3 linked regions of the Rattus norvegicus genome follow. The protein of the gene in region 2 purifies or fractionates together with the protein of the main gene of each other region. This does not show direct contact. Links are inferred from orthologs where the notes say so. Each region holds a gene or a part of one and is shown on either strand. Other genes may lie near its edges. The genes, in order: Mavs, Eif2ak2 and Npm1.

Region 1 (3,652 bases), on a different chromosome or scaffold from region 2:
AATAGCCCTAGCTCTCTCCCACATGCAGCAAGGTACAAAAACTATACACCCACAGGGCAAAAATCACACTCTCCAATGTGATTTGACCAGAATCTAGTAAAAAAAAAAATCTCAGAATCTGGGCTGGCCTTATCATTTGTTTTGACCACAGAACAGAGCAGGAGTAATAAGACCTCTTGCCTTATTACTGAGCCTAAGCTCAGAGCTCTGCCTCTCTTTTATTTACCCAGAGCCTTACCCAGATGCTGTGAGTTGGGTTTTTGTGCTAGAGGAAGAGAGAATGAGGAAGTACCAGCCAATGGATGTAGTAGAACATTATGTATATGTCAGGGAACACCCGACACAAAATCAGCAAGATCAGAAGACCTACCCAGCTGAGCCATGTGCTAATGAATGACTGCATTTTAAGCTGCTGCTGCTGCTGCTACTACTACACACACAGGTATGCACACAGCACACACACACACACACACACACACACACACACTTTTATTTCTACCCTGCCTCCTATCTAAGGAAGGCCAAGTGGTAACTGTAACCCTAACCTTCATGTGAGCGGTCCAGGAGACCCTCTCATACCACACTCTATACATACTTGCTGTGGAGGGGCCCCCCAGTTCGGGTTCTTGCTCGGGATGCTCTCTGGAGGGCTGAGGGCTGAGGGCCGGTGGGTTAGGTGAGGATATCAAAGAGTCACCCGACATCCTTGGAATGGCCCCAAAGTTGGCCTGTGGGGGTTCCTCCGAATTCTGAAATAGAGGAAATAACATAAAGCCATTGCTTCTCCTGGGGCTGAAAAAGGGCAGCATATATTTATGGGGCTCAAGAGCACAAGCTCCTCGGAACCTTTGCTTGGCTTCAGGCTACAGGAAGCCTTCACATATGAGGCTGAAGCTCATCGATTATACTTGCCTAATGTAAGTCTCCATCCCTAGTACCTATTTGGTTTTTTTTTTTTTAAGATTTATTTATTTATTATATATAAGTACACTGTAGCTGTCTTCAGACACACCAGAAGAGGGCATCAGATCTCATTACAGATGGTTGTGAGCCACCATGTGGTTGCTGGGATTTGAACTCAGGACCTCTGGAAGAGCAGTCAGTGCTCTTAACCTCTGAGCCATCTCTCCAGCCCTTTTTTTTTTTTAAGATTAATTTATTTATTTCATATAAGTACACTGTAGCTGTCTTCAGACACACCAGAGGGCATCAGATCTTACTACAGATGGTTGTGAGCCACCATGTGGTTGCTGGGATTTGAACTCAGGACCTTTGGAAGAGCAGTCAGCGCTCTTAACCACTGAGCCATCTCTCCAGCCCACCTATTTGGTTTTTTTTTTTTTAAAAGATTTGTTTATTTATTATATATAAGTACACTGTAGCTGTCTTCAGACACACCAGAAGAGGGCATCAGACCTCATTACAGATGGTTGTGAGCCACCATGTGGTTGCTAGGATTTGAACTCAGAACCTCTGGAAGAACAGTCAGTGCTCTTAACCGCTGAGCCATCTCTCCAGCCCCACCTATTTGGTTTTGTTGTTGCTGTTTTTGTTTTGTTTTGAGATAGGACCTTACGTATCTCACCCTAGCCTTGAACTTACTAAGGATGACTATGAACTTCTGATTCGCCTGCCTCTCTCTCCTGAGTGGCAGGCGTATAGGTGTGTGTCATCATGCCCAATTTATATGGAGCTGGAGACTGACCTCAGGCACGTGTGTATGCCAGACAAGCACCCCAGCAACTGAAAGCTCTATTCCCAGCCTCCCAGGACAACTGTGTTTTCTAAAGATTTATTTATTTATTATATATGAGTACACTGTAGCTGTCTTCAGACACACCAGAAGAGGGCATTGAAACCCATTACAGACGGTTGTGAGCCACCATGTGGTTGCTGGGAATTGAACTTAGGACTTCTGGAAGAGCAGTCAGTGCTCTTAACCACTGAGCCATCTCTCCAGCCCAGTCCCCAGGATGACTTCAAGTGCATTAAAAAAACAAAACAAAACAAAAAACCAGGCACTGCTGAAGTTCCCTACCCATGTGTCTGTAACCACTGTCCTTTCTTCAGCAGTCTGCACAGACCCTATGGCTTCAGACCCATAGTCTAGGTCTAGGGTTTCTTCTATACCCCATTGTTAACTCACTTCATCCCGGTGGAACTAGTTATCTTCCCCTGATACCTGATTTTACTGTTGATAATTAGCTCTGTCACTACCCACCCTTCTTGAGCCCTCATATCACCTCTCTCACATACAAATCTGGTTACCCTCTAGTCTTTTTTACCCAGCTCAACATATCACATGACCATTGCAAAGACCTCAACAGCACACTAAGGGGCCACAGGTCTAGCCAGCAGTTAGGTAGCTAGTTAGGGAACCCCAGCATTCTTAGCAGAAATGAGGCATGATTTTCAGGAGGTAGAAAGGGGCTCTGGGGGGTTGGGGATTTAGCTCAGTGGTAGAGCGCTTGCCTAGGAAGCGCAAGGCCCTGGGTTCGGTCCCCAGCTCCGAAAAAAAAAAAAAAAAAAAAAAAAAAAGAACAACAACAACAAAAAAAAAAAATAAAAAAAAAAAAAAAAAAAAGAAAGGGGCTCTGGAAGGCTGGGTGGGCAGAAGTGAGCAGACAGGCACACAAAAGCAGGCAGCTTAAAACAGATTATGAGGACTTACCTCTACTGGGGACTTTGGTGGCTGGGTGTCCTGGACAGGCTTAGGGTAACCTGGTTTATCTTGGAAGCCACTGTCAGGGATGGTGTGGCCTGCTGCAAATGCAGAAGGTTCGGAAACCGTGGTAGGAATTCTTGGTGACTGCAATGGGTCTAGGGAGTGGAGTGAGGCCCCTAAGGTACAAAGACAGAGTGATCTCCAGAAAGAATCAGAGGTAACTTGGTAATAGAAGAAGCCTGGATGCTTTGGGGCATCTAGTCTCCCTTCAGTAACTCCATGACCCAATGTGGGATGGATTTATTAGACATGATAACCATCACTGGGGAGGGAACAGGAGGGAAAGAAGAACTGGGGAAGACAGGAAAGGGTGCAAGGAAAATGAGTGAGGAGGGGCACAGCCTTTCACAGCCAGACTTTTCAGTGCTCACTCTCTGCTGTCCCAAGACCTTTTCCTCACAGCTGTCATCCCCAAATGACCCCTGCCATGGCCATCTCTGACTCTACCATAGCCATTTCTTTCTTGAGAGAGCACCGTAGCTTCCACAAACAAAAAGACCAACATGGAAAGAAGGGAAGAAAAGAGAAACAAAAGCAAACATGATGTGTTCAAGATTGGCTTGGTTTTTCTTCCCGGATCTTCTCTTCAGGCCCAAACACTAAACTCCCTCTGGTCACATGACTTGGCAGTGACATTGAGAGGAACCAGACGTTCGGCCGTTATCATTAGAAACCAGGATATTCTCAGAGAAACCTTGGGGCAGGGAAGAGAAATGGCGAGTAGGGCAAAGTGACTGGGTGTAGACTCTGTACTCTACACTCTGTGCAGGTGGAAACAGAAGGAATGGAAACAGGTAGGGAGACAAACACCAGAGCCACAAACACGATGGCAGGTGCCTTGTGCTGGGCATAGGGAAGATGTGGAACTCCAGCTAAGTGCAGCCACACATGAGGGATGTGGCCACTCACCCCAGTGTGACAGACTCA
Region 2 (3,652 bases):
CATCAAACTGAGAATTTTTCTTTTAACCTTGATTTATATTCCCTACCTCACATAATTTAAACCTCACTGAAATGGCCGCCAATCTATATGAATAACCAGGACATTCTTGTTTACGTTTTCCAGGTAACATCTAATCCTTTCTTGCTTCATTGAAAGATCGGACGGCAAAACACCAAGTGATGATTGAAAAACAAACTAACAACAGACAAATGAAATCTTTTCGGTTTCAGATAAAAAGTTGTAGAGGGAAGAGGAGAGGGAGAGATCCAGCGCCTTTTCCAGAGCTGCTCAGATAGGAAAGAAAACAAGTTGGTAGAAAGGGGCTCACGGAGGCTAAGCCACGAGGGTACAGTGCTGTGCCCTTTGGGGAGGGCAGCTCATTGACAATGTGTTCAGGATTCTAACCCTCGTTCACACAGCATGTCCCTCACAGCTGCTCTCTTCACACAGTAGGACTAAGTCCAATCCTGAGGATCCACACTATCTGCCTATCTACTGAAGTGTGGAGAGCAGACACTCAGACAAGCCACTCGCTCTCTGACTGAAACTGGTAGTCATTCCATGCACAGACAGAATGGTTCTCACAGTTGCAGTTGCAGCTACCTCGGCCTCAGGGAAGGGAAGAACTCTGCATGCCTCATGCATAGGCGTCCTGAACTCTTAAAAGTTTAGCGGAACGATTGTTCATGTGCACCTCAAAAAAAAACCAGCAGTCCCCTCTTATCGACGGGGGCTACTGGATGACGGAAACCATGGATTATATCGAACCCTAGAAATACGCATTGTTCTTGTACATTCCTATGATAAAGTTTACCTCACAACCTAGGCATAGTAAAAGATTAACAGCCAATAATAAAATAGAACTACTAGTGCAGTACGCCCCACGTCTAGGTTTGCGAAAGTGGTCTTCTTCTCAAGATAGCTTTCTATGCCAAGCTCACCATCTAGTTGACCAAAGGTAACTGAAATTTCAGAAAGTAAACCCATGGGGAAAAAGCAGCCAAGTTTGATTGCAATAGACCCTATAGCCTCGGGAATTTTTTTTTAATTTTCAAATTTATTTTTTTTTTTCGGAGCTGGGGACCGAACCCAGGGCCTTGCGCTTCCTAGGCAAGCGCTCTACCACTGAGCTAAATCCCCAGCCCTGGAATTGGATATTTTAATTAAAGAGATGTTTATAAATTACTTAAAACCTCCCATAATGATTGTATAGAAAAGGAGCAAATATTTCTGGGAAACTGTGTAGGAAATGCTTCCGTTTCTTGGCTCACATACAGTGAAACAGTAGAAGTCTCACCTGTGAGGCAATTGGGAGTCGGGGTCACACAGTTCAAAATTTACAGGCAGATTTTCCTTCTGGGCAAAAGAATTGACAAGGCCAATGTAGTTCCCCTCTATTAAACCTTGTTCAGAAGCATCCGTGTGACTATCCACCTACAAAGAAAAAAAAGATATGTAAATCCAAATCATGAATTATCATAGGAAATTACCAAATAAGTAACGACCACAACTTACATGTTATGAATTTCCTAGTTATAGGTTCTTTTTAAAAATGAACTATATGTCTATCAGTAAAAAAAAAATCTGCAAAAATAAAGTCTTTTAATTTAAAAAATCCTAAATAGCACATTAAAAATGCACATATTTTTTGGTATATAACATGTTTTGAAATATGCATAGCTGAATTCAGATAACTACCACCTTCCACGCCACCACCCCCCCTTCTTTTCTCTTTTTTTCTTTTTTTGGAATGGCACACACACTTAAAATGTACTTCCCAAGCCATCTATAAATATGCTATTTGTCAAGTCATCCAGTTTCCTTTTATAGCTTCATTAAGAAAAGCCAGGTGAGCAATCTGTTATCCCAGCCCTTGGGAGTCAGGCAAAATGATCAAGGCCAGCTTGAGCCATATAGCAATCCTGAGGCTAGCCCAAGCTACAAAGAAAGCCTGGGGCCAACCTGAGCTACACAGAGAGCCTGAGGCCAGACTGCCTTACCAGCACAGAACACACGGGCCTAAAGTTTTATTTTATTATCTTTATCTTAAAATGTATGTATATGCGTGTGCCTGCCTACAGCATAGGGCTGCCTGAGGAGGCCGGAAGAGCGCTGGGTTACAGGTGGTTGGTTGAGCGCCCCCAACACGCTGAGAATCTAACTCTAGTCCTCGGTAAGAGCCGTATATACTCCGGACATCTGAGCCCTTTCTAGCCACACATCCCCCTTCTTCTTCCATGGGGAAAAAAAAGTATTTAACACTTTCTAACATGCTCTGTTGGTCTCAGCTTGATGGAAAAGACACACACGCAGAAGCAACATTATTATGATCTCAACCCTCACTGTTTCCAGCAGATCAGGGTTGGTCCAAAGTTTCTCCTCACTAATCTTACCAAAGGGCTAGATTTGGTAATTCGCTTCATTGATTTTTATTATTGTGTTCTTTTACACAAATTCCCATCATTGTTATTATTGTCATTCTTCGACTTTGAGAGAAGAAAGCTAGCCTATTTATCTAAACTTTTGACTAATTTTTTCCTAGCTTAATAATAAGAGAATTGGTGGTTTCGCTTAGCTACTTTGAATTGATTGTAAGAATGGCATTTCGAGTACGATTATGCGAGAGTAAGTTGGAAGGTAAAACTTTCTCATCTCACGCATGAATCACACTTCGTGTCTCATTCTGCTCCCACGGCTCCAGCCGCCTGGTTTTGACATCGTCATAGAAAAACACAAAACTTTTTATCATCTGCCTCCGTGATTTTAAAATCCCGCTCCCACCTGTCTTCCCTCCAATCAGTGCTTTCATAAGGATCAGTGTCGCTCATGGTACTTCTGTATTTCCTTCTATTGATGAAATTAATCTTGTCTAATATCGTGCCTTTATTTCATAAAAACTTTCTGCTCAAATATCTTGGATAGCTTTGTTTATTTGATGTTAGAGAATTGTACCCAGGGTCTTGCTCATGCTAAGCACACAGAACCATACACCTCTCCCACCTCCCCAGAGACCAAAAGAGTCTGTTTTGTTTTTGTTTTTTTTTTAAAGATTTATTAATTTTATGGATCTGAGTACACTGTCACTGTCTTCAGACTCACCAGAAGAGACTATCAGAACCCATGACAGATGGTTGTGAACCACCACGTTGTTGCTGGGAATTGAACTCAGGACCTCTGGAAGAGCAGTCAGTGCTCTTAACCGCTGAGCCATCTCTCCAGCCCCCCCAAATGGGTCTGTTTTATTGTTGTTGGTTTATGACATTTACTGTTGTTGGTTTATGTGTCATTTATGCTGTTTGCGCCTTCAGGGATGCCATGTCCAGTATGTTGGCTCTCTGTCATCTCCCTCAAGGAAAGTCATTCTCCCTAGCAGGTCTTGCACGGCTTTCTCTGTTTTGTTTGCCTCCTGAGGTGGAAAGGTCCTGTCCTAGCCCTTGTCAGCCCAGCCCATCTCCTGCTGAACGGTCTCATCTTTCCTCATGATTCAGAGCATGTAAGTTGGCGCTCAGAAGTGCACAGCTTTGTCAACAAATTTCCTGGTGTGTTTCTCACTCAGGAGAAATGCAGATAATAAAAAAGGAAGTAAAGCTTTGAACAAATGGTCATACCCTGACAGTCATAATTTCTCCCTGAGAGAACACACACACACACA
Region 3 (3,652 bases), on a different chromosome or scaffold from region 2:
TAGAAACAGTGCTACTTTATTAAAATACTGAGTTTATTTCACATGTATATTTGTCTCCCTACCATTTCCACATCTGACCACCACTACTACTATGTCCTATCATAACATTCCATACATACTTAAAACCAAGTAAAGGGCGGAGTTCCATCCTTGAAAACTAAACAGGCATTTTAGACAACACATTCTTGGCAATTGAACCTGGACAACATTTATCAAACACAGTAGGGAAAGTTCTCACTTTGCATTATAAAAAGGACAGCCAGATAGCAACTATTACAGAAATGAAGACAGAATTATTTCAAACTGTTTAAACCATTTTCTTAAAGAGACTTCCTCCACTGCCAGAGATCTTGAATAGCCTGTAAAAAGGAAAAATGGTAAAGAAATGTTAACTTTATAAAATTAAAGTTAATGTTTTCATCATATAAAGAGAAAATGCAGAATTTTAACTCAAACATAGCCATGAATGAGACTCCTAACTAAATGGCTTAGCCATGACTTTATGGCCAATGCTGCCTCCTGTCTGTGTGGGTCAACCCTATTTAGGGACTCAGAATTTGAGTTTACAGTAAAGTCCAGGCAAGTATTACAAAGCAAAAGAACACAACCTGGAGAAACCCAAAGGGACATAACCTGTTCTTAATGAAGTTTGGATAGACACCTATAGCTCAGACTGATGAAACCCTTTAAATCAACTGTTCATACAGAAGGTCTAACAAAACCCATATTTCCTATTTACAACTAATAGAAAATTTAAATTCACACCCTTGCATGGCCCAAGTGACTCCACCACAATAAACCATACCATTTATCTCACATGCATGAGGCTTTTTAACCTATCCTAGTTTGATTTTACCAATATTGTTCTCCCCCCCTTCACTATCTGGAGAAGACACTACCACTCCCAAGAGAGCAAATATCAGACTGTGTAAAGCAGCCAAATGGAGCAAATAAAAAGCCACAGCCTATTTCCTTAGCCAACACACTACCAAGAGTAAAACTAAGTTCAGTAACCAAGAGATAATTGACCAACTATTTAAAAAGCTGGGGAAAAAATGTGCACTAAAAATTATTTGCTCAGTCTGCCAATTAAATTCTTTCCATGTATTTAAGTACTGTCTGTGGTTAGGAACCTTTTACAAGAAGCCAATAACTTAAGAGTCTAAAAGTAAGAGTCATAATAAATCACAATGAAAATTTTAGATTTGGTCATGTCCACAGAAAATTCAGTTACCTCCTGGTCAGTCATCCGGAAACAATTCTTCACATAATTAATGAACTTGGCTTCCACTTTGGGAAGAGAACCACCCTATTGAGGAAGAAAGCATTAATTATTAAGGACAAGCACAGAAGTGAGACACAATTAGAAAACTTCCAAAGACTTGCATGCCATTACACAAACTATCCCTCAACACTACCATTTGATTAAAAAAAAAAAAAAACAAAACATCGAGGACCAAACCTCAGAAAGAATGGTTTTTCACTGCTTAAAGTCCAATTCCTTCCAAACTGCCAGTTTAAAACTGTATGGTTCTACCAGCATGCAAATACAGCAATTTGGTGCCTATTATAATAAGTTAGTGTCATCACCTACCACCAAAAAACCAAATTAAATCAAAACTGTTTATAAAAGTGTTCCAAAAAGCACACAATCAAAGGGTTCTAAAATGCTACCCTCACTGTTGCACCGACCTGGCATGTTTCCAATTATGAATATAGGCAGTGAATCACAGTATCAGCAATGTCAGTTTTGCCACCAAAACTCTTACAAGCTAGGTACAACTGTAACCAGCATAAAGTTATCACTACAGAGATTTATCCCTATTCTAAATAAAGTCCACTTCTCTATAAATTTTAGGTTTTTTCCATTTTTATGCACTTAGCAAGTCTAAGGCTTCCAAATTCCAGATTCATCTTGAGTACTTAAATTGCCTCCATCACCTAGAAGATAATTCACTACAATTTAAAAATATTGTCACATACATCCTTATTGGTTCATTCAAAAATTTATTTCGAGCAGCTAAGGATACAAAGGTTAAAATTAAAACATGGTCAGAGTTAAGGCATATGCACAAGTGGTATAGAAAAGCAGTCAAGTTTTCTGCATCACACGAGTGAAAAAGAAAAATGCTTTAGGAAAACGATTGCTTCCAGCCTGCAAGGGGGAATGGATGGCCAATCAGGAAAGGGGATTGAGATTAAAATAGAAGACTTCAGTCTGGATTGTTGATGGTACTATATTTGTTTCTCCTTTTCCTCTTTCCCCATCTTTGGGCTTAATTTACCAGTAGTGCCCAGGAATGTTCAATGCGCCTGCAATTAAACCAAGGAGATAGGACCACATTAAAATGGGGGGGAGGGGCATCATTTTAGCAGTGTATGCAAGGGATAAAAAATAAATCAGCAACACCAGGAAACTTAAGTTTACAGTTTAAATAAGAAATATATGTGCTGGCCAAGTGCTAAATTCCAATCCGTTCGTGGTTGCAAAGGAAGAAACTTCTGAAGCCATGTGAGGCCAGGACAGGACTGGGCAATTTCCTTATCATTTCACATGTATACTCAGTATGTTGGAATCATAATGGAGAATCTTTAATTTTCCAATAATCATGTGTATTATTCAATTTTCTACACAAACATGCTTTATATAATAATGTATTAGTTCCAGCCAAATGGCCAAGAAAGAAATTCTACCTAAGACTAGATGAAAGCCTATTAGTAGCCACACATAAATTTCAGGTCATGGACTGAGTGTGCTTTGGTACAGAAGGCACAGAAATAACTCAAATTGTTGTGAAATACTTAAAGGTGATCCTTTTCACCTTAGCTATAATCTCAGGCAGCCAAACACTCGTGTCTTACTTTTCCAGCTGTTTTTAGTTTTACTGAAAACCAAGCGCCCTCTGCTGGTTCTACAGCATAACCCCAGAAAGGACATTGTAAGATTGGAGTGCACCCTTCCAAATTTTGAGTGCACAGGATTATTGTTATAATCTACTTTTTAACCTGAATTCCCATATTAGTACAATTTAAAGTGGGAGAAAGACGAATCTATTTAAAGGTAATTTTTACTCACTTTTTCTATACTTGCTTGCATTTTTGCCTTAATGTCTTCTACAGAGCTAGGTCCTTTGGGTGTTTTGGGAGTTTTTTCCTGTTTTTTGAAGGACTCTTGACCCTGGAAAAGTTTTTAAAATTGTTAGTACAGTTCTTAACAAATAGTAATTACAAGGATTTCTATTATCCTTACAATTCCTTTTATAGATAAAACAGAGAAGTTGCTAATATAAATTGATGCATTGTAGTAATTCTTCCTAGCTAGTCTCAGAGAACCAAGTAGGTCATCCTTTAAAAAAAATCAAGTCACAAGCATCTGTGATGGGATCTGATACCCTCTTAAGACTGTCTGAAGACAGTGACAACAGTGTACTCATATTTAAAAAAGGGGTTGGGAGAGATGCTTCAAAGTTAGGATAGGATAAAATCAAACTTGATAGGCCAACTCCTATAATAATAACTCCTGACAATTATTTGACCTCTACAAGTATACACCTAGATCATGAAAGTTATACACACACAACACAGCTCAGAATTCAACTGGTGTACAAAATAAAGTCAACTACAGATGCCATGTAGTCCATCCCAGTACATG

The links.
Region 1: the proteins of Eif2ak2 (region 2) and Mavs purify together in Homo sapiens (affinity purification with western blotting; 3 studies listed by BioGRID and IntAct, with this or other methods). This does not show direct contact. The link is inferred for Rattus norvegicus from reciprocal best matches to the Homo sapiens genes EIF2AK2 and MAVS.
Region 3: the proteins of Eif2ak2 (region 2) and Npm1 purify together in Homo sapiens (affinity purification with western blotting; 3 studies listed by BioGRID and IntAct, with this or other methods). This does not show direct contact. The link is inferred for Rattus norvegicus from reciprocal best matches to the Homo sapiens genes EIF2AK2 and NPM1.

Annotation. Positions count from the first base shown.
Region 1 is NC_086021.1:138,911,249-138,914,900, reverse strand, and holds part of Mavs (mitochondrial antiviral-signaling protein), read right to left. Parts: intron 2,842-3,652; coding exon 2,672-2,841; intron 750-2,671; coding exon 596-749; intron 1-595.
Region 2 is NC_086024.1:21,954,551-21,958,202, reverse strand, and holds part of Eif2ak2 (interferon-induced, double-stranded RNA-activated protein kinase), read right to left. Parts: intron 1,435-3,652; coding exon 1,298-1,434; intron 1-1,297.
Region 3 is NC_086028.1:18,245,727-18,249,378, forward strand, and holds the end of Npm1 (nucleophosmin), read right to left. Parts: intron 3,179-3,652; coding exon 3,077-3,178; intron 2,314-3,076; coding exon of another isoform or gene 2,305-2,313; exon of another isoform or gene 1,991-2,304; intron 1,310-1,990; coding exon 1,235-1,309; intron 360-1,234; coding exon 321-359; 3' UTR 13-320; downstream 1-12. UniProt on the Homo sapiens protein: Involved in diverse cellular processes such as ribosome biogenesis, centrosome duplication, protein chaperoning, histone assembly, cell proliferation, and regulation of tumor suppressors p53/TP53 and ARF.